Linked DNA regions of Caenorhabditis elegans. The protein of the gene in region 2 purifies or fractionates together with the protein of the main gene of each other region. This does not show direct contact. Each region holds a gene or a part of one and is shown on either strand. Other genes may lie near its edges.

Region 1 (5,709 bases), on a different chromosome or scaffold from region 2:
CTATCAAATTGCAATCAAGAAAGCGATTGGTTGAAACTCACTGCAACTCATATCTGGAATAACAATGTCAGCGGTCGAAGTGTCAATGACAACAGTGAAAAGTTGTCCTGGTGTTCCCATGGTCAAGTTAGCAACGAAGAAGGTTGAGGTTTGCTCCAGAGTTTGTCCTCCTGGAATTAAACTTCAGTTTTGAAAATCTAAGGAACTTGTGTATTATATACCAAAAGTAATTTTCAGTACAAAACAATTCACTAGTGGAATGTAATAGATTTAGAAAACCATTATTCCTAACAAGGGAAGGCTCTGAACTCGTTATCGGACTTCGTTACGCCACTATATACATTCGATAGAGAATAGTTACAGATGATCACTCCAAAAATTTAGCTGCTTCAGAGCAGGTTTGATCAAGTTACGACATTTTGAAAGTGCCAAAATACCCCTTTTTAAAAATTCCAAAAAAATCAAAAAAAAAAAGTTTTTTTCTAAAAGTTGATATAAAATGTTTTCAAATAGTTGGAAATGATGGAAAAATCATACCACACAAGTTTCAGTTCATAATTCTCAAAACAACCAATATATAATTGGAAATCAACCGCAACATTGTGTTTGTAAGTTATAAGCTTTATTCTAAGTTAAATACATTCTACTCAATGTCGTAAAGGAAATAATGTTTGTTCATTCACTGTACATTTTATGTGGCTTCGGGATATATATATACGTGCTCTTAAAACAACTTACCGCTCTCCACTATTATTACTCCCAGTTACGTGTCTATCCCTATTTTGAATAAAATATAACGTTAATGTACCATTAAATGTTCATGTTCAATCAAACGTGATCGAAATTTTTATACGCTTCGGAAAATAATTCAAAAAAAAAATCAAAAATAATGCTTAAATGTTCATTTTAAATTTTGTAAAGGCTTCCATTTACAAACACCAAATTTCACTTTATCTGAAACAAATCTGTAAATTCTCATACTCACCTTTGGTAATGTTGGTAACTGCAGCATGAACTTTGAAAGGAATCACAAAAGCTGAGGTCGAGGCCACAAAGGCCAAAAGCAAGATTGTCTTGATCATGATTGAACTGAGAATGATTTCCAAGCAACCAGCTCTCCTATTTATTCGCTCATGCTTTGAACTGATAACATAGAAACCAAAAAATCGTGACAAACCCCTATCATTTTCGACACTGCACACTTCCACTTTCATCACTTTTCGTGGGCTTCAGAACTTTATTCGACGAGATACTACTAACAAACGAGAGAATGAAACAAAAAGCAAAACGATTTAATTACGATGATTTTAGATATCGGCTGGCAGGACTTTTCCGCGGCACTCTCCGAAACCAATTCTGACTCCATTCTTTTCACAAACTCCAGAAAGGTTGACCTCATCTCCGTCCTTTAAGAACTTTCGGATTTCTGAGCCAACTGGAACTTCTTTGGCTCCGCGCCACGAAAGCTCGAGCATGGATCCATATGCACCTTCTTCTGGTCCAGATACAGTTCCTGATCCCAAAAGATCTCCAGCGCGGAGGTTGCATCCATTGACGGTGTGGTGAGCAAGTTGTTGTTTTAGAGTCCAATACAAATGCTAGAAATTACAGTATTGTAGTTGAGAAAACCTTAACGAGCGTTTATGATCCAATTTACAGTGAACAGTGTAGATAATATCGTTTCTACTAAACTTGAACATACCTTGAAGTTAGTTTTACAGACAATATGGTCCACAGCATCTCCTTCTGGACGGATACTGACGGCCAAATTGATGTCAAGGGTAAATGGGTCATCGTGATGGAGATATGCTGGTGGAACTGGATCTTGTACTGGATTCTCAACAAAGTATGGACGAAGAGCTTCAATTGAGACGACCCATGGAGAAACAGTTGTGGCAAAGGATTTAGCAAGGAATGGGCCGAGTGGAACGTATTCCCAAGCTTGGATATCGCGAGCTGGAAAAGTTTTTTTTCGGATGAGTATGGAGCAAACTTGAAAATAACTACTGTTGAATTTTCTTGTCACCAAAATGTCGAGTTTAAATGTTTTTGTTTGATATTTAATTAACATCGTTACTCACCACTCCAGTCGTTCATGAGCACAACTCCAAAGATACGATCCTCAGCCTTCTCGATTGGAACACGAGTTCCCAATTCATTTTCTGGACCTCCCACAAAGAACGCCATCTCGAGCTCAAAGTCCATAAGCTTTGATGGACCAAACGATGGAACCTCAGCTGAAAGCGGACACATTTGCATTATTGGTGCAAATCTAAATCTTACCATCTGGGGCCTTAGTTTGTCCAACTGGTCTTTTCAAGTCTGTTCCAGATACAACGATTGATGAAGCTCTTCCGTGGTATCCGACCGGAAGCCACTTCCAGTTTGGCATCAGAGCATTTTCCTTTCCACGGAACATGATTCCGACGTTGGTGGCGTGATGGATGGAGGAGTAGAAATCGGTGTAATCTCCGATTTGAGCTGGAAGGTGCATTGTAGCATCGGATTGAGCGACAAGAGCCCGGCTTCTGTAAATAAAAACATAAGAATATTATTACAAAGTTTCTTGGTTGTTTTAAACAGAGTTATATGTAAGTTGTGCGCAAAACGTACAAAGCTTCTAATTACAGTATGAGATTTCAATTTATAAATCAAAAATTAATATAAAAATGTAGGTTTTTCTCGATTTTGAAATAGATTTTTTTAAAAATAATGCCTACAAGTCGCCAACAAAGTTTAACGATATATTTAAAGTCAAATGAAGTATTTCAAAAACTTTGACGGGTTTCCAGGCGTTCTCAATAAAATAATTTTTTTCAGATTGACCGAACATTTTCACATACTTCTATATACATTTCAACTTGCCAACTTGCTGCACAGTATTGATTCAACTTTGCAATTATAAACTAACGATAAAAATTAAAACTTGTGAAATAGTTGTTTAGATTTGGTTAGTAGATTATCAGACACACTTTGTACTACTTTTTAACTTTTTCAAATTTGTTTTGCCAACTTATTCACCTCAAATGAGCGTTATCCCTAAGAACAGCACAATCCTCTGAGAGCAGTTGTTGGATTCTTGCACGAGCTTCCAACCAGGCTGGACGTGGCAGTGCCATGAACGCGTTCAATGTGCTCTGCTTGAAAACATCCTGATGTGCCTTCAATTGAGGTCCGTCAAAAAGATTGGCAATTTCTGCCAAGTTGAGGATTTGATCTCCAATTGCAACTCCAATGTGGCGGGAAGACTGAAAATATTTAGTTTAATTTTGCTTTAGAAATAATTATTTATACACTTACGTCAGCCTTTGTTGAGAAAACACCATACGGTAAGTTTTGAATTGGGAAATCCGAGTTTTGAGGAACAGAAACGAAGGATTTCATGATTTAGCCTGCAAAGCAATACAAGTTTTGAAAAATGGAGTTGAGTAGACAGCAGTCTGTTATGTCTCCGAAACTGTACACGCATGCGGCGTTGAAACAGAAAATAGCATACAGGTTGGAGAGGGTGCTAGTGACAAATACAAAAAGGAGTCGTACACGCATAGGCCAAGGTCGATACACGACTAAACGACCACCAATAAAAACAAAACGATAACCAAAAAAAATGACTGCACACAGACAGTGACAATGACAGATGTGCACCACTGAAACCGCTATATAAGGTCTCACAAATCTAATTGAAAAGATAAGATGATGATAGTGACGTCAATTGGATAAAACAATAGAGTATATCAGATAAGTTTTGACAAGAGAGAGAAAACTACATTGGATGCAAATTGAATTGCGAAACAGTCACGTGATGATTTTTTCTTGAATGTTTGGATGGCATTATTCTATAGTTGTTTGTTTGCATTGGCAATGATACTGTTTCATGAATAAAAAGCAAGTAGGAGTATGACGATTTTAAAGAGTGGAGAACTAGTGTTTTTTAGAGTTGCTTATGTTTATAATATAGAAATCTCAATTCCATGAAGATAAATTGCTACTAAAACGCTTTTTATATCAGAAGAAAAACGGTCTCTAGCAATTTGTATCTTAGAAAACTCTTACCACCATTTCGAGTAGAGAAAACGTTTCACAATCGGATGTAGGTTTTTAACCTGTAGATTTCAGATCACCACAGCCTGCTGAGCAGGTCAAAAGTTGTAACTTAAAGGTGAGTTGTATTGTTAAATATTATCGGTAATTGATAAACAGGTACGGCGAGTGAAATGGTCAAAAAAATATAAAAATAATTTATTTCTATAATAAAGGGTTGTAATACACAAGAAACATTTTTTAAGGTTAAACATTTTGAAAATACAAACACCAACAGCGATGAACTATTGAATTAACACTTTCTCTACTGTCGTTGAGTATAAGTGTTAGTTTCAAACTTTTTATATCTTGTTGGATTTTGCTTTTACGAAATCAAATTGAATTAAAAACTTTCAAAAAATTAATTTATTGAAGCCAGTAGTGGACAGAAAAAGCAGGAAATACAGACAAAAAAAAAACACCAAATAAGTTTATTGCAATGGTTTGAATGCATAACAGGTGACATCTTCCTTAAATGCTTGGCAGAATGTATCGGTATGAGCTATGTAACTGAATTCTCCTGTACCACAAATAACGTTCACCTCATGGCCTAGTGTTTCTTCGGCAATTTTCTGAATGTTCCTCTTTGATTCACTTGCATCTTCGCTAATATTCTGAAAAGAGAGTAGGCTTGACGTGCAAAACGAGTGTACTCACATCAAGGATAATGTTTTTCAGTTCGGAACTGTTACACGAAGGGTCGATTGTTTTGGCTGCAAATGCGGCGCGTCTCACACTTTTGTACTTGCATGGCGATGAGCAGCCACAGCAACAATCGTTCTGAAATGATATTTTCTTAAAGGTTCTTTCAAAAATCTACCAACCTGAGCTGGAATTCTGACTGATGGTACAACTGCACCACCTCCACATCCTCCAGCTGTTGGCATTGGCTGAGGCATCATTGGCTGATAGTACTGGGGAACATATGATGGGTAGAACGATGGTCGTTGCATCATACACGGGCAAGATGGTCTCGGCATTGGTGGAGGTGGTGGAGGGCATGGCATTGGCGGTGGTGGAGGCGGAGGACAAATTGGTGGTGGTGGACAGAATCTGTGAACAAGCATGTGAATATTCTAGGTTTATTGCTGAAACTTACTGAGCCGGGCATGGTGGAGGTGGAGGACAGACTGGCATTGGCATCGGCATTGGCATCGGTGCAGCACATGGCATTCTTGGTTGGCACATTGGAGTCGGGCATCCTCCACACCCTCCTCTACCAAATGGGTACTGAGCAAAGGCAAAATGAAATGAAATCTGAAAATCCGAATGAGTAAAAGAGATATTCGATGATTCATTGCTTACCAAGAAAACTGCAACCGACAAAGTACTCATATTGCGCAAATATGGAATGGAAGTGGAAGAAGCTATGGTTTCCGACCACACACGCGGATATTTATACTACTTCGCACGTGCAACTGGTTTTTTGGGGGAAATTCTGAGTTTCAAGAAGATGCTGTGACCTTTAGAAGCTTTTCGATATTGAATCATATTGTGTTCTCAATGTTTCAAGTACGGGAAAAATGGAAAGAATTATTAAAATGCAAAAAGTTGAAGGTTGAATATTACCATTCTTTAAAAAAGTACGACGTTAAGTTTTTTAAAACAAAATCACGATGATGTAAAACG
Region 2 (6,147 bases):
GATAGTAATACCGAGAGAAGCATACTTCCGCATTTTTACATTACCCAGATGCAAAAATTTGCGATTAAAAAAACGGTATTGGTCTCGACACGACACATTTTTGTTAAATGCAAAAAGTTGTGTGCCTTTGAGGATTACTGTAGTTTCAAACTTTTGTTTGATTTTTCATAGATTTACTTACGATTTTTTAAAAATTTATGTGTTTTTCAAATGTTTGAGATCTTTTTTTTTAAATCGAGATATGGTGAAGAATCAATTAAAATTCCACATAAGTTTTAAATTACAGTACTCCTCAAAGGCACACACCTTTTTTGCATTTAAAACAAATTTTTCGTGTTGAGACCGGTACCGTACACCTATAGCGCAAATTACGCTAAATTTTGCATCTGTTAAATGTGTAATATTTGGGTCCCATCGAGATTTACTGTCTAAATTTCAAACTTTACGAAAAATGTTACATAATGTTCTATTTTTGTACTCTCGTCTCCATGTCCACTAGTTTTACAGGTTACTGTTCCTTTCAAAATCTTTTTTTCTCAGAATAAAAAACAATGTCATACGGATATGGTGGATACGGTAATTGTGGTGGTGGAATACTTGGATCAGTTCTTGGAATGGCTGGTGGAATGGCTGGAGGATACGGTGGATATGGTGGATATGGAGGTTATGGGTTTGTTTATTTTGAGTAGATCATTGTTCAACTCTTCGTTATTCCAGAAGATGTGGAGCAGATAATGTGTTTTATCGTTGGCGTTGTTGTGACTACAGTCCTTATGAATGTTGTATACAATTGGAGACATGGGTTGTGTGAGTTTAACTGTTTTTAAAAAGTTTTCAGAAATGCAAGAACACTTATTTTTGATTGAATTTCAGAGTATTTCTTGTCATATTCATAATTGGATTCTTCGTATGTCTTTGTGCTTGTCTAGCCGGATGTGTGTGGTCAGCTCGTAATCGTGAATAATTCCAATGTTTGACAATCAACTTATTAATTGTGATTTTGAAGGTTTCGATATGTATTTACCTCACCATTTATATGCAGTTTAAAAATAAAATAAGTAAAAACCCAGACATAATACACAGAAATAAACATGACGTATATTGAAATCATTGAATACGGGACAATTACTGTTTGAGCATAGGCACTGAAGTGTACTTTCCAAGAAGAGTCGAGAAAAGAGCTGGACCATATCCTGTACCACGATCTCCAACTTCAGCGGGAGCAGCGATATCAAGATGAAGCCAACGTAGTCCTTCGCCAAAACCAATGTGAGCACCAATAAAGAGGCCAGCGACTGCAGATGGTGGTCCATCCATTTTTCCGAGATTCGAATTTTTCATGTCAGCAATAGAAGATTTCAAGTCACCAAAGAAAAGATCCGGGGCAAAAAGCATTGGGGCAACCAAGTCTCCTGAAGCCTTTCCAGCTTTGATGATCTAAGAATGTAAAAATTAAATTGTTATTCTTTTAATGAATGACCAACTTCGTTCTCCAACTGTTCATCATTTGTCATAGCAGCTCCGTGAAGACGTCCTGAAAGCCACGCTTGTGCACCGGTCAGAGTAGCCATATCGAATATAGTTGTTGCTTTGAGAGTCTCTTTTGCATAGAAAACTCCGTCAGCAAGAATCAAACGACCTTCTGCGTCAGTATTGTTGATTTCGACGGTCTTTCCACTCAACATTTTGATAATATCATCAGGCTTGCTGGAAATTAAATCATAAAGTAAAATTGAATTGAAGTTAAATATACTTTGCAATTGGGCTGACATTATTCTCAACAATACAGAGACAAGCATGGAGAGTTTGTGAAAAACCGTGTTTGACAAGAGCAGAGTAAGCTTCAAGCATTCCAGCGGCACCTCCCATATCTCTTTTCATATCTGAAAAAATCCATTTTCATAAATAATAATTGAAGTTTTTCATACTTGGCATTCCAGTCTTGGTCTTAATTTGCAAGCCTCCAGTGTCGTATACAACTCCTTTTCCGACAAGTGCAATGTGCTCCGTCGATCCAGGAACCTCATGGGACAAGACAACAAACGCAGGTGGTGTTGGACCAGCTTTTCCGACGTGATAGATTCCGCCAAATCCAGCCTTCAACAGTTCTTCCCCACGGATCACTGTTATTTTTGATCCAGTCGCATTTCCAACTTTGACTGCTTCATCAACAAGAGCATCAGTAGTCAGGATATTGGCTGGAGTATCGATGAGTCTTGCGGTTTCACGGACCGATTCTGAGAGATCAGTAAGGAAAACTGCATCCTCGTTGGTGAGCTGCAAAGAAATTGAATGTTTGTTTTTCAATTAAAACAAAACAATTAATTCGGATTTTGAGATTGAGATCTTGAAGGACACATAACTTTCTTATCAACGGAAGTTCATGAAGACCGCCGAATTTTGCAGAAGCTATCAAATGATTCTACTAGTTCCTCTTTTTTAATTTCGTCACACTACGCAATAAACTCTTATCGTATTTCTACATTATCAGCACACAATTCCAGAAAAGAATAGTCTCCAGGCTGACTTTGCAAATAGAAGCAAGCACATGGTGTCTGCTGTCTATCAGTGATGATAAAACTATACAGATCAATATATCAAAATGAAGGATAGTTGTCACATACCTTGTCGCAAACCACATCGATATTCACATTCAGTTCACGAATTCCTGAAGTTTTCATCGAGAACTTGCAGAAGGTCCGAGCAATAGCCGCAACGTGAGAAAGAACATCTGGATATTCAGCAAACAGCACAAAATGAACATTCTTTGTATCCTCAGGATAGTTGATTGGTTTTAACTCCTTATATATCGAATGAGCATTAGTGGGGGTATTTCCACGTGAAGAGGCATCTGGGACAGTGATCAAATGAGCCAGCTCGTAGTGAAGAGGATGACGTCCTGAGGCGGGGATTCGAGAAATCATAGAGTTCCATGAGTCGCCATCTGAAATTATTTTTATATTATGGAAAAGTATGAACCATCTGCAGATGCAAAATGTTGTTCTCTTTACACCAACCATACGGTACCAGGTCTCGACAAGAGACATTTTTGTAAACTACAGGGAGGTGTGGGTCTTTTAGAGTACTGTAATTTCAAAATCTCATTTATTCTGAATGGTTCATGATTTTCCATACATACCTGTGCGGCATTTGGTTTCGGCATTTGAACAAAATGCACTTTTTCATAAATATGAAAATACGTCATACGGCATACGGCATACGGCATTCGCCATACGGCATTTGGGTGCATATCTCGAGCAGGGGTAAACTTTTTTTGAAATTTTTTTGACTGGTGACAAGCCTAAGAGTCAGGCTTCTCATCGTATGCTATTTCATACATATACGTATTTTCATATTTATGAAAAAGTGCATTTTGTTCAAATGCCGAAACCAAATGCCGCACGGGTATGTTTCCATAGTCTCTTCCGCGCTTTGTTAAAATGTATGTGTTTTTATTTAATATATGTTTAATATTTAGTATGTATATAGATATCTCTAGATATATATGAATTTTTTTAAACGAAAGTGACCATGTACCGTAATTTTGGACAAAAATCAAAAAACATCGCGTTTGTGTAATCTACCAAAACCGAACCTGTAACAAACTTTTGTGCGACTTCTTTGAATTTTCCTTCGAAAGTCACATTTTTCAAGACACTCTTCTTTCCAACAATGATTAGGCTAGTCAGGCCATCTCCAACAGCTTGAATCCCGTTACGAACGAGGACTTGTGTCATTTTTAGGTGACACTAATCACTGAAATTAGAAACTTTGAAAACCTTTTGAATTAAAAAAAAACAAAGTTGGAAAGTATAAACTATAGTATTCAGACTAAAAAAGGCAAACTCTTTTTAGAAAAAAGGTGTAAAAATTATTACTCAAATAAACCGTTTATCAGTTCCTCCAGCAGGTAGAGAAAGAGTGACCAGAGAAACATAAATGCGAGAAAAGGATGATAAAAAATGGCGAGAGAAAATGTAGAGCAAAAAAATGAGAAATTGAGAGAAGGAACAAATCTTCAGGGCGCGTGTTTGCATACATTCGTGGTCTAAAATTTGAGAGGTTGTGAAATAATGAGGAGCGAAATTTAAAATTTTAATTAAGTTCAAATCAACTCCTATATTAAAGTTGCCTAGGCATAAATAAATTGATAACCCTCACAATCCCGTAGAGTAAAAAAACATGCTACTTCGAATATCTAATTGATTAGTGAGCTTCTAAAATTAATAAATAACTTTCGGTACAGAAAAATTCTAGCCAACTAATTGCAAAACACAATGAAAATGTTAGAAACTATGATGAAGCATGCAATATAGACTGGAATATGACATGAAAAAGAATTGAACATAATTAAACGGGGGCCAATGTCGCTTTCAACATCCGTACTTCTTCCAAAGAAGTGACACGTGATGGCTGATTGTCCTGTTTTCCCATTGACACCTTATTCAATGGAGCATTTTTCTTGGCAACAGAAGCTGAAGCATGATACCAGTGACATTTAGTCCATTCGACAAGATTCGCGACATTCGAACTGTTCACACCACAACCTGCGAGAACATCGATCTTTCCTTTGTGAAGTTCTTGCATTTCTCGAATGATATAAACTCCGTCGAGTGCTGACGGCTCTTGTCCACTTGTCAAAACAGCTTTGAATCCAACATCAATAGCGTCCTCAAGACAAGTTTTCCAGTCATAGGCGACGTCAATTGCTCGATGAAATGTGACAGGATGTGGACGGGCAGTTTCAATTATTGATTGACATGATGTACGATCCAATGAACCGGCTCTGAAAATTGAAATTTTTTGTGGATCATCCAGAGCAATCAACCGTTATAATTACAAAACTTCTTTCGTAATTTTGCCGCATGTCTATGCATTTTAAATGTTTTTTAAAAACAAGCTTTCCGCATTGTTCAAAAATTAAGTCAGCCTAAAAATAATTATTTAAATGTTATGTAAAATTTTTATTGATAAACTTGATTGAGAATTTATTTGCGGAAAATGGTGAAAAATTCGAAATGAAACAAGAATATGTTTTTCTTTTTTCATTTAAACATGTTGGAAATAAAATTATAATATATTTATTTGTTTCATTCAATTTAAAACTCTCCGACTTACGATGTTAATGCTCCAAAAACGAATCCTGTGGCACCAGCTTTTTTGAGCCATTCAACGTCTTCCATATTCGCTGCCATTTCGTCTTCATTATACACAAAATCGCCTGCCCGTTGGCGAATCATACAATAAAGTGGAATATCGGGATACTTGTAGCTCAGAATAGACACAAATCCGACGGATGGAGTGAGCCCTCCGAGTTGTAAAGCTGAGCAAACTTCCAATCGATCAGCTCCACCGGCAACAGCATTTTCCGCAGATTCCAGATTATCGATGCATATTTCCAGTTTTATTTGCTTCTGGGATTCTGTTTCTGTCATCTTAACACAATAGAGTTTGAGAAAATATGTTTTTAACATTGTAAAGAATAGGTATAAAGTTATGGTTTAAAATCCGAAAACTCAGCAAGAAAACTGAACATATCTGGGATAAATGAAAACTTTTATTCGATTCGAATTATAAACGAGCAAAAAATAAATTATCCATGGCGATGAACTTTTGGTGTTGGAATCACAGGCGACAAGAAATTTACATTATTACATGAACTGAGTAGAATTTCCATTGAAACTGGCTCGCTCTTCAGGATCGTCTTCATTCGGATTTTCAAGCCCTGCGACGTTTCCACGCTGAAAATAATTTCATTATGGAAAGAAAATAACAATGCACACAAACCCGACGAACTTCCGCACTCCTTGGCATCCCGCGTCTTTGTGGTTGTGATCCTGATTGACCCGATGTAGATGGCCCATCGTTTTTCTTAGATTTCGAGTCTTGTTGTTTTCCGGTAGAATTCCAGCCAATCATACCACAGAAAATATTCCAAAAAGCAGTGAGTGGGTATAAAACCCATGTTACAAAGGATACGGTTTGAGTACTGAGCGAGAAAGATCCATAATTTGAAGAGGAACCCGACGATTTTTGAATTACGACAAGTGCGGTAGAGGGTGTTAATTGATTCTCGAGGAATGTTTTCGAATAGTCATCATTTGTAAATATGCGGCGTGGATACGGTTGCTGAATTTCAAAAGTAGT
Region 3 (4,691 bases), 1.3 Mb from region 2:
CTGGATTCTGCCTCAAAAACGAGTAACCTTGCATGTTCCTGCATTGTTTCAAACTTTTTGTCTCTATAATCATAGTGTTAGTTGAAATTAAATTATATTCAAGATTACCTAATAAGAAAATCAAATTGAACTGTTGGTTCCCAATCTGGATCTGCAGATGGTTCCATTACTATTATCCGGTAATATCGTTCCGTACTGTTCTGAAAAATTGAATTAATCGTCTGTTGAGTTTGAGTATTTCTTTGCAAAACTAAATTGGATTTTGCAAACAATCCTACTGCGACTCACTTCGAAAAAAGTATACATTTCTCATTTTGAAATAATTAATCTAGATTAATTGTTTGTTCTTCTAGTAGTTTTCATATGATAACATCTTTGCAGCTTTCTACCACAGTTCATCTTTTTAAAATTTATCGTACTTACTTTCAAAAACAATGCCACAGCGGTTCCCCCATTCGGTATCCGCCAATGCCCATTTTCAGAAAAAAGAAGTTGACAAATACCTGATGAAAGTATCTGAAATGAGCACAAGCTAGTTGAATTGAAACTACATTTGTCTTTAAGCAGAGACCGTGCCTATCTCTTAGTGCACAAAATCATACCTTATCGCTTGCCGATATTCCTCTTAGAACACTATTTTTTTCGTTGATCTCGAGGAAATCACTCAATTCAGATGTAATCATTTGGAAATTAAAATTTGAACAATCTGGAATGAATAGAATACGAATGATACGATTTGACGAAAGTGCTTTTTAATACAGCAATTGTTAAAAATTTTGAAATATTTACTTATTTCCCAACTTTATCAGTATTTTTGAAATTATTGCTCGCTCTTAATTTTACCGCCTCCAATGAGTCATTTAGGAAGCAAATTCTCATTTCTTTCAATCTTTAAGCTATCCTCGCCATTCATACACTTCAAGACTACTGTAATTTGAAATTAAACAGTTTCAGACACTTTACATCCAGACACTTTACATTTCAAAACGTTTTCAGAGTTTTCTAATTTTTTTTTCAGTTTTTTAAGAAAGACGTTTTTTCAACACAATTTTTATTGGGGCTATTCTAAGAACTACACGTATACTAGGAACATTGGGAATGAATGGGTACAATTTTCACAACAACTGGGAAGAGGAAAAGTGAAGTTTGGAGAGTGTGGTGGTGATAAGAAACAACTAATTTTCAATATGAACAAAATTCGATGCAAGTAGTCAGTGCTTCTTGGAATTGACAATTTCCTTGACAGATCCGTCAGAGTACGCGAAGAATACTGCGTCGACGCAACCGATGAATAATCCGGTTTCAACAATTCCTGGTGTATTGGCCAATCGTTGCTGAATCGCGAACCAATCTCTTCCGGATACGTTTTTCTCGAACTGCCAATCAATAATGAAGTTTCCATTGTCTGTCACAATTGGTCCGCACTTTTTGACAGCTTGTCGAAGTTGACAGCTTCCACCTTCAGCGCGTGGAATCGAACGTAGAAGTGGTTGAGCAGCAAGAGGTAGAACCTGCAATAAATCTCATTAAAAACAGTCAACATAACTACATCTATTTAGAAAAAACTATTGTTCTAAAGTTTATTCTTTAGTGCATCTTTCTTTACTGATAATTATAAAAAGTTAAATAATTTACCTCAATTGGGACATTCGGATAGCGATCACCCAAGTGTTTGGAATCTTTTAAATAATCAGCGATCACGTAAAAGTTTTTTGCAGCGGTTTGAACAATTTTTTCTTGAGCCAGACATCCACCTCCGCCTTTGATGCACGTGAACTGTCCGTCAACTTCATCAGCTCCATCAATACACACATCCAGTTCTGGATGTGAATCCAAATCGGAGACAGGGAGACCAGACTCAATCAGCCATTGTTTTGTCTGAAATACTTATTTATAACAATTGGGTTTGTTGAAAATCTGTTTACCAAAAAACTGGTTGGAACACAGATGATATCCTTGAGACTTCCATTCTGAAATCCTTGTTTAAGATATTCTACCAAATACTTGACAGTGCTTCCGGATCCAACACCAAGACGGCAACCACTTTGCACATATTTTTCACCGCAGGCAAACGCAGCCTGAAATGATTAATGAGGGTTGGAATTGGTCTTAATTTTTGACTTACTCGTTTCTTCGCCTGCTCAATAGGAGCCAGTTCTGCTTCAGGGCCGGTGGAGGTGACCATTCTGGCGGTTCGCAATACTCCTGATAATGGAAATTTTGTAGAAAACATACAAAAATGCTGAAAAGAAAACGAAAACAATAGTAAATTGATAAGAAAGACTGAAATTTTCAGCTGAAATACTGAAATTAATGAAATTCTGCATTGAGACGTGACGGTGTTTGCACTAAAACTACGATAACACACACTATTTGACGACAATTGCTTCTCATTTTTCTTTTTTCTTTTCCGAATTTTCTTTAATTTTCAGCTTATTGAATCTTTCATTAAGGTTATTTTGAACAATTTTCAGAGAAATGAGCAAACGGCCAGTGATTGAGTCTGAAAAGCCTGCGTGGCACGATGAGGACGACGATAATATGGTTGTGGCGGTTCCAAAAAAAGTGAAAATGACAATGCGAGTTGAACTCAAGCGAACCACAGACGAAGAACATGGAGAATTGGATTCAAAGGTAAATTTTTTTTAGAAATACGTTATTCAACGTGTAATAAAGATTATATAATTGAAAATAGGCAGAAGGATAAATTACTTCTGAAAAATAATTTTAATATTTTAGGAATACGTTGGTAGATTGCAAGAGGCGTTCAGAAAACGCCACGGAGGCACACCAAAATGGGCTAAGGCTGCTGCAGGTTTTTGGAAAATCAATAGTTCAAAAATCGTATTTTACAATTTTAGGAGACGAAGAAGAAGGGTCATTGTTGAAAACTGCTGCCGGATATTTGGCGAAAGACGTGAATTTACCAAAAACAACTATTCATACAACTCTTATAAAAGATTTCAACATCGGACACCGATACACTCGTGGAATCACTGTTGTTAAATTTCATAAAACCCGACCAGTGCTCATTGTTGCCGATCAAGGTGGAAATGTTCAACTTTTTAAAGTAAGTTGTGTTTTCTGTTTTAATTAAACCATTCCTTACTTATTTCAGGTAAGTCGTGAGGTTAAAAAGGATCGTTTCCTTCAAAGTGCGAATTTCTCAAAATTCCCGATTGATAGTCTGGAAATTGCTGATAAAGGACACTCTGTGATCTGTTCTTCAAGCCGAAAGGAATATTTGATGCAGTACAATATGGAAACAAGAGAAGTGACACAGTTGAAACCTCCAAACAGTACGTTTAATATTTAATAAAATTTGAAGCAAAACTTTGAACATTTTACAGCAGTACCAAAGCAAGGAATTCGGCTCTTTGCCATTTCGCATGACTCTCAATTTTTGGCAATTGCAGGACACAATTCTCACATCTATGTTCTCCATGCTACTGTATGTCAAAAAATTAAATTATTGGCAAATTAAAAGTTTAAATGTAAAATGTTTCAGTCGATGGAGCATATCACAACAATATCACTCCCAGCAAATGCGTCAGAAATCAAGTTTTTCCCATCGCACAGCCGTGAAATTTGGATCATCTGCGGTTGGTTTTATATTGCCAAAAATTCAAAAATTATTCGAAATTTCTAGAGACCGGCCAAATTGTGATCGCAAACATTGGATTGCCGGGAACCAAATCATCGCAACATACATTCACCGACGATGGAGCTGTGCACGGAACAACACTCGCCATCAGCCAACATGGAGATTACTTTGCGACTGGGTAAGCTTTTTTAAAATCAAACTTTTATAATTCGTAAAATCACGATACTGTCATTCATTCATATAATTCATATATTAATATAATTGTACAGTTTGCTACATCTTTTTTTTTGTTGATATTTTCAGTTTAGCAACAAAAATTTAAAAAAAAAAATCTTTTTTTGTTGAATTCCGGTGAAAATAAATGACCTAGTCTTTACATACATCCTGATTATATGATGAAAATTTGAAATTTCCAGAAGTGATACCGGAATCGTGAATGTCTATTCTGGAAATGATTGCCGCAATTCTACAAATCCTCGTCCACTTTTCAATGTTTCTAATCTCGTCACCGCGGTCTCATCAATCGCTTTCAATTCTGATGCTCAATTGATGGCAATTTGTTCAAATGTCAAGGACAATCATCTTCGTCTCGTCCACGTGGCAAGTCAGACAACATTCAAAAACTTCCCGGAAAGAAACGGAAAAGTGACACATGCAAGATGTGTGGAGTTTTCTCCAAATGGAGGATATATGGCCGTTGGAAACGATGATGGACGTCTTCATGTTTTTGAAATTCATCATTTTACAGACTATTAATTGGTTCTAACATTGTTATTCTTTTCTTTGTCGTTGATTTCGTCCAAATTGTTTTGTTTTTATTCTTCATCCGTTTTTTTGTTGTTATGAAAATTTATCGTTTTTATTCCAACTTCCAGAGCAGCTTTTGAACCACTGGAAGATTTAAAAATACAAACCGACGTTTGCACAAAAAATTCAAAAACAGTTGAACGTAGTCCTAGTCTGTACCGAAAAATGACTTGATCGTTCTTTGTACACTATAGTGACATAGAATTGTCTCAATAGTCGCCAGTTAGAAAAGGGTTGAACAACACAACGAACGATCGAAAATGACGAAAAATTAACAATG
Region 4 (5,702 bases), on a different chromosome or scaffold from region 2:
AATTTTCAGCGAGCCTATTCCCTACCGCTTTGTCGGCGTTCACCTGGTCCGAGATCCGGATGGCATCCATGCGCCGAGGGTGTTGACTGTCACAGAAGACAGTCTCACCTACAATATCAAGATCACGGATTTGCATGTATGCTTATTATAGTGGTTGAAGTGTTGAATTTCGTATTTTTTAGATGTCGAATGGCTTCGAGAAGAACTCCGGGAAGCGGGAGGAGAACATTGGGTCAAGAGAGTCGATCTACCGCGAAGACGGGGCTCGAGGAAAGGCGAAGAGAAATCTGGCCCGTTCAATGTTCGACACGACTCGACACATGCTTTACCTGGACTTTTCAGCTCCTCCATTCTACGATATCGAGCAAATTTACTTGCATGGCATTTTCAGCGGTAATCACTTGCTTAATAAGCCTGCCTTTTAATCATAATTTTTTATTTTCAGATCGATTCGACAAGCTGCACATCGCAAAGTACACTGGCCACGCTGTGAATGGACTGTTCGATTGGGTCGAGGATCCATACACCGATGCAGTTTACTACAAGGAGCGAATTAATGGCCACGTGGAGATGTTCCAAGCAAAAATCAAAGATGTCGTGCCGATTATCACCGGAAAAATGGCTGGACGACGAATCGAAAATTCCTTGTTGAGCGGCGAACTCCAAGGTGTCTCGAACGGAGTATTCTACGAGACGAGTGTGAGAGATGTCAACGAAACGCATCAGACCCTGTCCTCAACGCTGACAACACTCGATTCGGAATGGAGTATCACTTGTAACGCGGAGACGATTTACAGTGTTGTTCCGAAGACCAACAAGCTCCTCATCATCAGGTTTTGAAGAAATCATCGATCTTCGAATTTAATATTCATAATTTCAGGGCCAACGATTATTGCATGTTGAGAGATGGAAAGAATTACAACAAGGAGAGCTGTGAAAACGAGCAGGCAGACTACCTGGCTCGCAATAATCCGTCTGAGGTGAGCTGGTTGTGTTGAAGAAATTTATAAATTAAATATATTTCCAGACCGACAGCAATGTGAACGCGATGATGTGGCTGATCGTGTTCTGCGTCGTCTTAATCCTTCTCGTGATTCTCCAGTGCGTCTACATCTTTTGGCTCCGATCGTCCTTTGTCTCGGCTGACGAGGCCTCTCATCATCAGGATCAGGAGACTGAAGCCTCCATCTTCATCGCGAAACAGCGCAGCTTCCCAGCGAGTTTCCATGAGCCAGGACTTTTGGATGTCTCCGTCGACAAGTGGAATTAAATCATTTTTATTTGAATTTATAGCATTCTCGTTCTTTTTCAATCTTTTCTAGCCTTCTATCCTTCTAGACACTAGACACTGTCATATTCTCATCTCATAATTTTTAATTTTTTACTTTTTTTTTTGTCACATTTCCTAGCACTTTCTGTTTCTTTTTTTTATATAAAATTAAATATTCCGCATTTTTATTTGTTTTAATTAATGATCTTTATCTTAACGTTGTTTATTCACCAACACTATTTTATTTTTGTATTCGAGTTTTCGAGACGCATCGATCACGTTTCTCCAAGTGCACACGGGTCAAATGGTGGGCAGTTGCAGGTCTCTCCACGTGCTGTGGCCGTCTCTTAGTCTCTTGCACTATCACTTTTCCCACTCTCTGACTCTTTTTTATTTCTTTTTCTTCTTTTTTTGCTGAGAGAGAGAGAAAAGCAACTGTTCTTCTTCTTCTGTCCTATTTGCCACTCCTCCCGTCGTCTTATCAACAGCATTGAAACTTCAAAAACTCGCAGATAGAGCTTTTAACCTTTTAATTTTCAATGTTCGCGTGTATTTTGTGGCTTATTTTATTTATTTCTTAGTTCAAAATTCGAAACGTGATCAGTAATGTTTAGTTTTCATTCATTTCGCATTATCCGAATCGTCAGAACCACCACGCGACCGCCCATCTCTTGTGATTTTCAATTTTTCTTCTCGTGCGTTTTCAGTCATTATCTTCTAATTTTCAGCTCTAAAACTTGCGGTACCCCAGAATGTTGTCTCGTCTTGCTCGTGTTCAGGTAGGAGTTTCTTTTTATAATATTTTTTAACAAAAAATCGTGTACTTCACACATCACTTGCAGTCTGTGCGACAGTTGTCGTATGGGGTGACACATTGAAAAAGAAAACGAAAATCAAACAATCAAAACTTCAAAACTTCAAATAATATTCTAATTTCAGCCAAAATGCCAACAGCTCGCCCACTTCAGCACATCGAAGTCTGCTGCCGCCGCACCAGTGAGTTTCAGGCTTGATCTTAAGTTTCCAAATCCAAATTCCATAATTTTTCAGACTGTCAAGCTGTGGATCGATGGACAAGCTGTTGAATCGAAGACCACCGACTTCGTGGAGCTCACCAATCCAGCCACCAACGAGGTCATCGCTATGGTGCCAAACGCCACCCAAGCTGAGATGCAAGCCGCTGTTGACTCGGCCAAGAATGCCTTCAACACCTGGAAGAACACGTGAGTCTTGAATCCCGTGTGATCTTTTTTTTTTATTTCAATAATAGAAGTTTCCAGATCCCCACTGACCCGTCAACAATGCATGTTCAAACTTCAAGCCTTGATCAAGAGAGACATGAAGAAGCTCGCTGAGAGCATCACCATTGAGCAAGGAAAGACCCTTCCAGATGCCGAGGGAGACGTCAGCAGAGGTCTTCAGGTCGTCGAGCACGCTTGCTCCGTTCCATCCCTGATGATGGGAGAGACCCTTCCAAATGTCTCTCGCGACATGGACACCCACTCCTACAGAATCCCACTTGGAGTCACCGCCGGAATCTGTCCATTCAACTTCCCGGCTATGATCCCATTGTGGATGTTCCCAGTCGCCTTGGCCACCGGAAACACTATGGTCATCAAGCCATCCGAGCAGGATCCAGGAGCAGCTCAGCTTCTTGTCGAACTTGCCAAGGAGGCCGGAGTTCCAGATGGATGTGTCAATATTATTCACGGACAGCACTCTGCTGTTAACTTTATCTGCGATAACCCAGATATCAAGGCTATCTCATTTGTTGGAGGAGATGCTGCTGTAAGTTTTTTTGAATTTGTTTTTTATGAACATTAATCAATTTTCATGATTTTTTCAGGGAAAACACATCTACGAGCGTGGAGCCAAGAACGGAAAGCGCGTCCAATCCAACATGGGAGCCAAGAACCACGGAGTCATCATGGCTGATGCCAACAAAGAACAGACCCTCAATCAGCTCACCGCTGCCGCCTTCGGAGCCGCCGGACAACGCTGCATGGCTCTCACCACCGCTGTGCTCGTCGGAGAAGCTCGCGCCTGGCTCCCAGAACTCGTCGAGAAGGCCAAGAACTTGAAGGTCAACGCTGGATGGAAGCCGGATACCGACATCGGACCACTGATCTCCAAGCAATCCAAGGCCCGTGTCCTCCGTCTTATCGAGAGTGCCAAGAAGGAGGGAGCTCAGGTTCCACTTGATGGATCCAATATCACTGTTCCAGGATTTGAGAATGGAAACTTCGTGGGACCAACGATTCTCGCTGGAGTCAAGCCAAATATGACTTGCTACAGAGTAAGATTTTGTTTTTTTTTAAATTTGTTTAATTTAATATTTAATTTTTTGTAGGAAGAAATCTTCGGCCCAGTCCTTGTCGTCATGGAGGCCGAGAACTTGAACGAGGCCATCGAAATCATCAACAACAACCCATACGGAAACGGAACGGCCATCTTCACCAGCAACGGAGCCACCGCCAGAAAGTTCACCAACGAAGTCGATGTCGGACAAATCGGAATCAACGTGCCAATCCCAGTTCCACTCCCAATGTTCTCGTTCACCGGCTCGCGTGGTTCATTCCTCGGAGATCTCAACTTCTACGGAAAGGCCGGAATCCAGTTCTACACTCAATGGAAGACTGTCACTCAATACTGGAACGAGTCGCTCACCGAGCTGAAGCCACAAATGTCGTTCCCACAGCTCAAGTAAATTGAAATTCTGTGAATTCTGAATTCTCTCATCCATCCCCACACACAATCACTTCTTGGTTCTTTTATTCTTGTTCAATAACGTTTATTGCCATGGTTTTTTGCAACCTCTCATTTCTTGTTTGTTCATATATAATACACATTTTATCATAAAAGTGACGATTAGACCCGTAAATGGAATGGGGGAAAATAATCACAGTTCAGAGAGAATCGTATTCGAATGATTGAAATCATAATCAAAACGTGGATAGTAACTATTCGGATCGGCAATCTGTTTATCATTCCGTTTGGAACGAGCCGCCGTGGGTTCGTCGATTTCCAAATCCGATTCCTCATCCTCCTCACTATTTGAAGTTGGATCTAGCGTGACGGCGATTATGATTATACCTGGAAAATATAAAATATTATTGGGACGTAGAAAAAATGCCCAATCAACGTGAAAACGCCCTCCACGGCAAATTGAAAACGCTCCGCCTCCTAACCGTGGGTCTCATTAGGTATTCTACCAAAATTCAGCATTTTCAATTAGCTTCAAGTGGTAACTTTCAAGTTACCAGTTTTTCCTAACGAGACCCAACTATTTGAGGCGGAGCGGTTCCAATTGGCCGTGGAGCGCATTTTCTGCGTCTTCATAATAATCTAACCTGTGATAAGAAGAGCAACACTGATAAGTGATACGATAAGCACCAATGCTACCGAAACGGACATCGACTGTGGTGCATTGTTGTTGAATGGACTGGCGACCGTCGGCGACGGGATCGCGCTGTCCAGAATTCGGCGGGCTTCCTCGTCTGAAAAAATATTTTGAGGAATATTGTTGAATTTTGTAATTTTTTCACCAAAAAATACGGTACTGCTAGGGTCTCGACGCGACCGGAAGTTTTCTGCAGGAAAATTGTGTGCGCTTTTAAAGACTACTGTAGTTGTGAAATTCTCGCTGAATTTTTCAAAATCGTATTTTTCATAAAATATTGATATATTTCAGATTTTGTAAAAATTCATTTGCGAAGATTGCGAAATAACGGGAAATGGGTTACTGTAATTTTAAAGGTGCATACTTTTTGTTGGGTAGATTTGAAAATATTTTGATCGCGTCGAGACCTTTTTTTTATGAAAAAACGTAATAACTTATAATTTTCGATGTTTTTTTAACTCTAAATAAGTTTTATAAAATTTTGCGCCTTTAAACAACTGGTTACTATAACGAAATTTCGAAAAAAGCCTACCATTTGCATCAAAAGCGATCACAATTTTGGAATTCGCATGTGAGACGGCCAAATAAATGAAGGCGACAAAAATGAAACAGGTCAGTAGAATAATACGAACCACGCAACGCATTCAATCATGAGCAGGTGCTGAATGTTATGACGATCAATCTGGAAATTGAGATGGAATTTTAGGGAAACAAAATGAATTATATCTCCTTTCCCATTGTAGGTAATAAAAAAATGTAGAAAATGTAGAAAAAATTGTGTACTACATTTTTCCAGTTGACAGTTTTTGTCTACCTAGCCTGGCAATAAAGTTATGAGCGTTTGAAGACAAGAAGAATTTGTCATACGAGAGAGGGGAAAGGCCGTCGTCGATACATAATGAATATTGGCCCAATCAATTCGGAAGTCCCTACTTCGCATACAAAACATATGGACTCGTCGAAGCAGAACGGGACTGCTCAACTCGGAGCACACATGCACACAGAGCAGGAGAGAGTCCATTAATTTTGCGG

What was found.
Region 1: the proteins of lap-1 (region 2) and fah-1 fractionate together in Caenorhabditis elegans (co-fractionation; one large-scale study listed by BioGRID). This does not show direct contact.
Region 3: the proteins of lap-1 (region 2) and rpia-1 fractionate together in Caenorhabditis elegans (co-fractionation; one large-scale study listed by BioGRID). This does not show direct contact.
Region 4: the proteins of lap-1 (region 2) and alh-8 fractionate together in Caenorhabditis elegans (co-fractionation; one large-scale study listed by BioGRID). This does not show direct contact.

Annotation. Positions count from the first base shown.
Region 1 is NC_003284.9:6,445,525-6,451,233, forward strand, and holds fah-1 (Fumarylacetoacetase), read right to left. Parts: upstream 3,393-5,709; 5' UTR 3,385-3,392; coding exon 3,301-3,384; intron 3,249-3,300; coding exon 3,022-3,248; intron 2,529-3,021; coding exon 2,284-2,528; intron 2,238-2,283; coding exon 2,082-2,237; intron 1,957-2,081; coding exon 1,703-1,956; intron 1,599-1,702; coding exon 1,308-1,598; 3' UTR 1,222-1,307; downstream 1-1,221. Other genes in the region: asp-14 (Peptidase A1 domain-containing protein), read right to left, coding at 42-170, 986-1,082; grl-6 (Ground-like domain-containing protein), read right to left, coding at 4,512-4,694, 4,738-4,860, 4,905-5,133, 5,180-5,337, 5,386-5,415. UniProt on the Caenorhabditis elegans protein: Fumarylacetoacetase involved in the tyrosine degradation pathway.
Region 2 is NC_003281.10:8,398,173-8,404,319, forward strand, and holds lap-1 (Leucine aminopeptidase 1), read right to left. Parts: upstream 3,757-6,147; 5' UTR 3,738-3,756; coding exon 3,596-3,737; intron 2,945-3,595; coding exon 2,625-2,944; intron 2,278-2,624; coding exon 1,929-2,277; intron 1,884-1,928; coding exon 1,754-1,883; intron 1,708-1,753; coding exon 1,485-1,707; intron 1,438-1,484; coding exon 1,126-1,437; 3' UTR 1,020-1,125; downstream 1-1,019. Other genes in the region: ZK353.2 (uncharacterized protein), read left to right, coding at 552-670, 718-807, 874-964; cutc-1 (Copper homeostasis protein cutC homolog), read right to left, coding at 4,351-4,786, 5,119-5,435; ubxn-4 (UBX domain-containing protein 4), read right to left, coding at 5,652-5,741, 5,788-6,147. UniProt on the Caenorhabditis elegans protein: Probably acts as a digestive enzyme.
Region 3 is NC_003281.10:7,120,679-7,125,369, reverse strand, and holds rpia-1 (Probable-ribose 5-phosphate isomerase), read right to left. Parts: upstream 2,243-4,691; 5' UTR 2,186-2,242; coding exon 2,126-2,185; intron 2,079-2,125; coding exon 1,926-2,078; intron 1,879-1,925; coding exon 1,636-1,878; intron 1,512-1,635; coding exon 1,212-1,511; 3' UTR 1,035-1,211; downstream 1-1,034. Other genes in the region: B0280.2 (uncharacterized protein), read right to left, coding at 1-63, 109-200, 424-516, 603-683; B0280.9 (U3 small nucleolar RNA-associated protein 18 homolog), read left to right, coding at 2,479-2,634, 2,740-2,815, 2,862-3,070, 3,119-3,299, 3,351-3,451, 3,509-3,602, 3,650-3,782, 4,021-4,360.
Region 4 is NC_003280.10:11,727,057-11,732,758, forward strand, and holds alh-8 (putative methylmalonate-semialdehyde/malonate-semialdehyde dehydrogenase [acylating], mitochondrial), read left to right. Parts: upstream 1-1,998; 5' UTR 1,999-2,022; coding exon 2,023-2,049; intron 2,050-2,209; coding exon 2,210-2,266; intron 2,267-2,320; coding exon 2,321-2,493; intron 2,494-2,540; coding exon of another isoform or gene 2,541-2,550; coding exon 2,551-3,058; intron 3,059-3,116; coding exon 3,117-3,566; intron 3,567-3,620; coding exon 3,621-3,977; 3' UTR 3,978-4,142; downstream 4,143-5,702. Other genes in the region: F13D12.5 (uncharacterized protein), read left to right, coding at 10-136, 183-393, 446-833, 881-980, 1,028-1,270; F13D12.8 (Col_cuticle_N domain-containing protein), read right to left, coding at 4,170-4,363, 4,621-4,767, 5,203-5,314. UniProt on the Caenorhabditis elegans protein: Probable malonate and methylmalonate semialdehyde dehydrogenase involved in the catabolism of valine, thymine, and compounds catabolized by way of beta-alanine, including uracil and cytidine.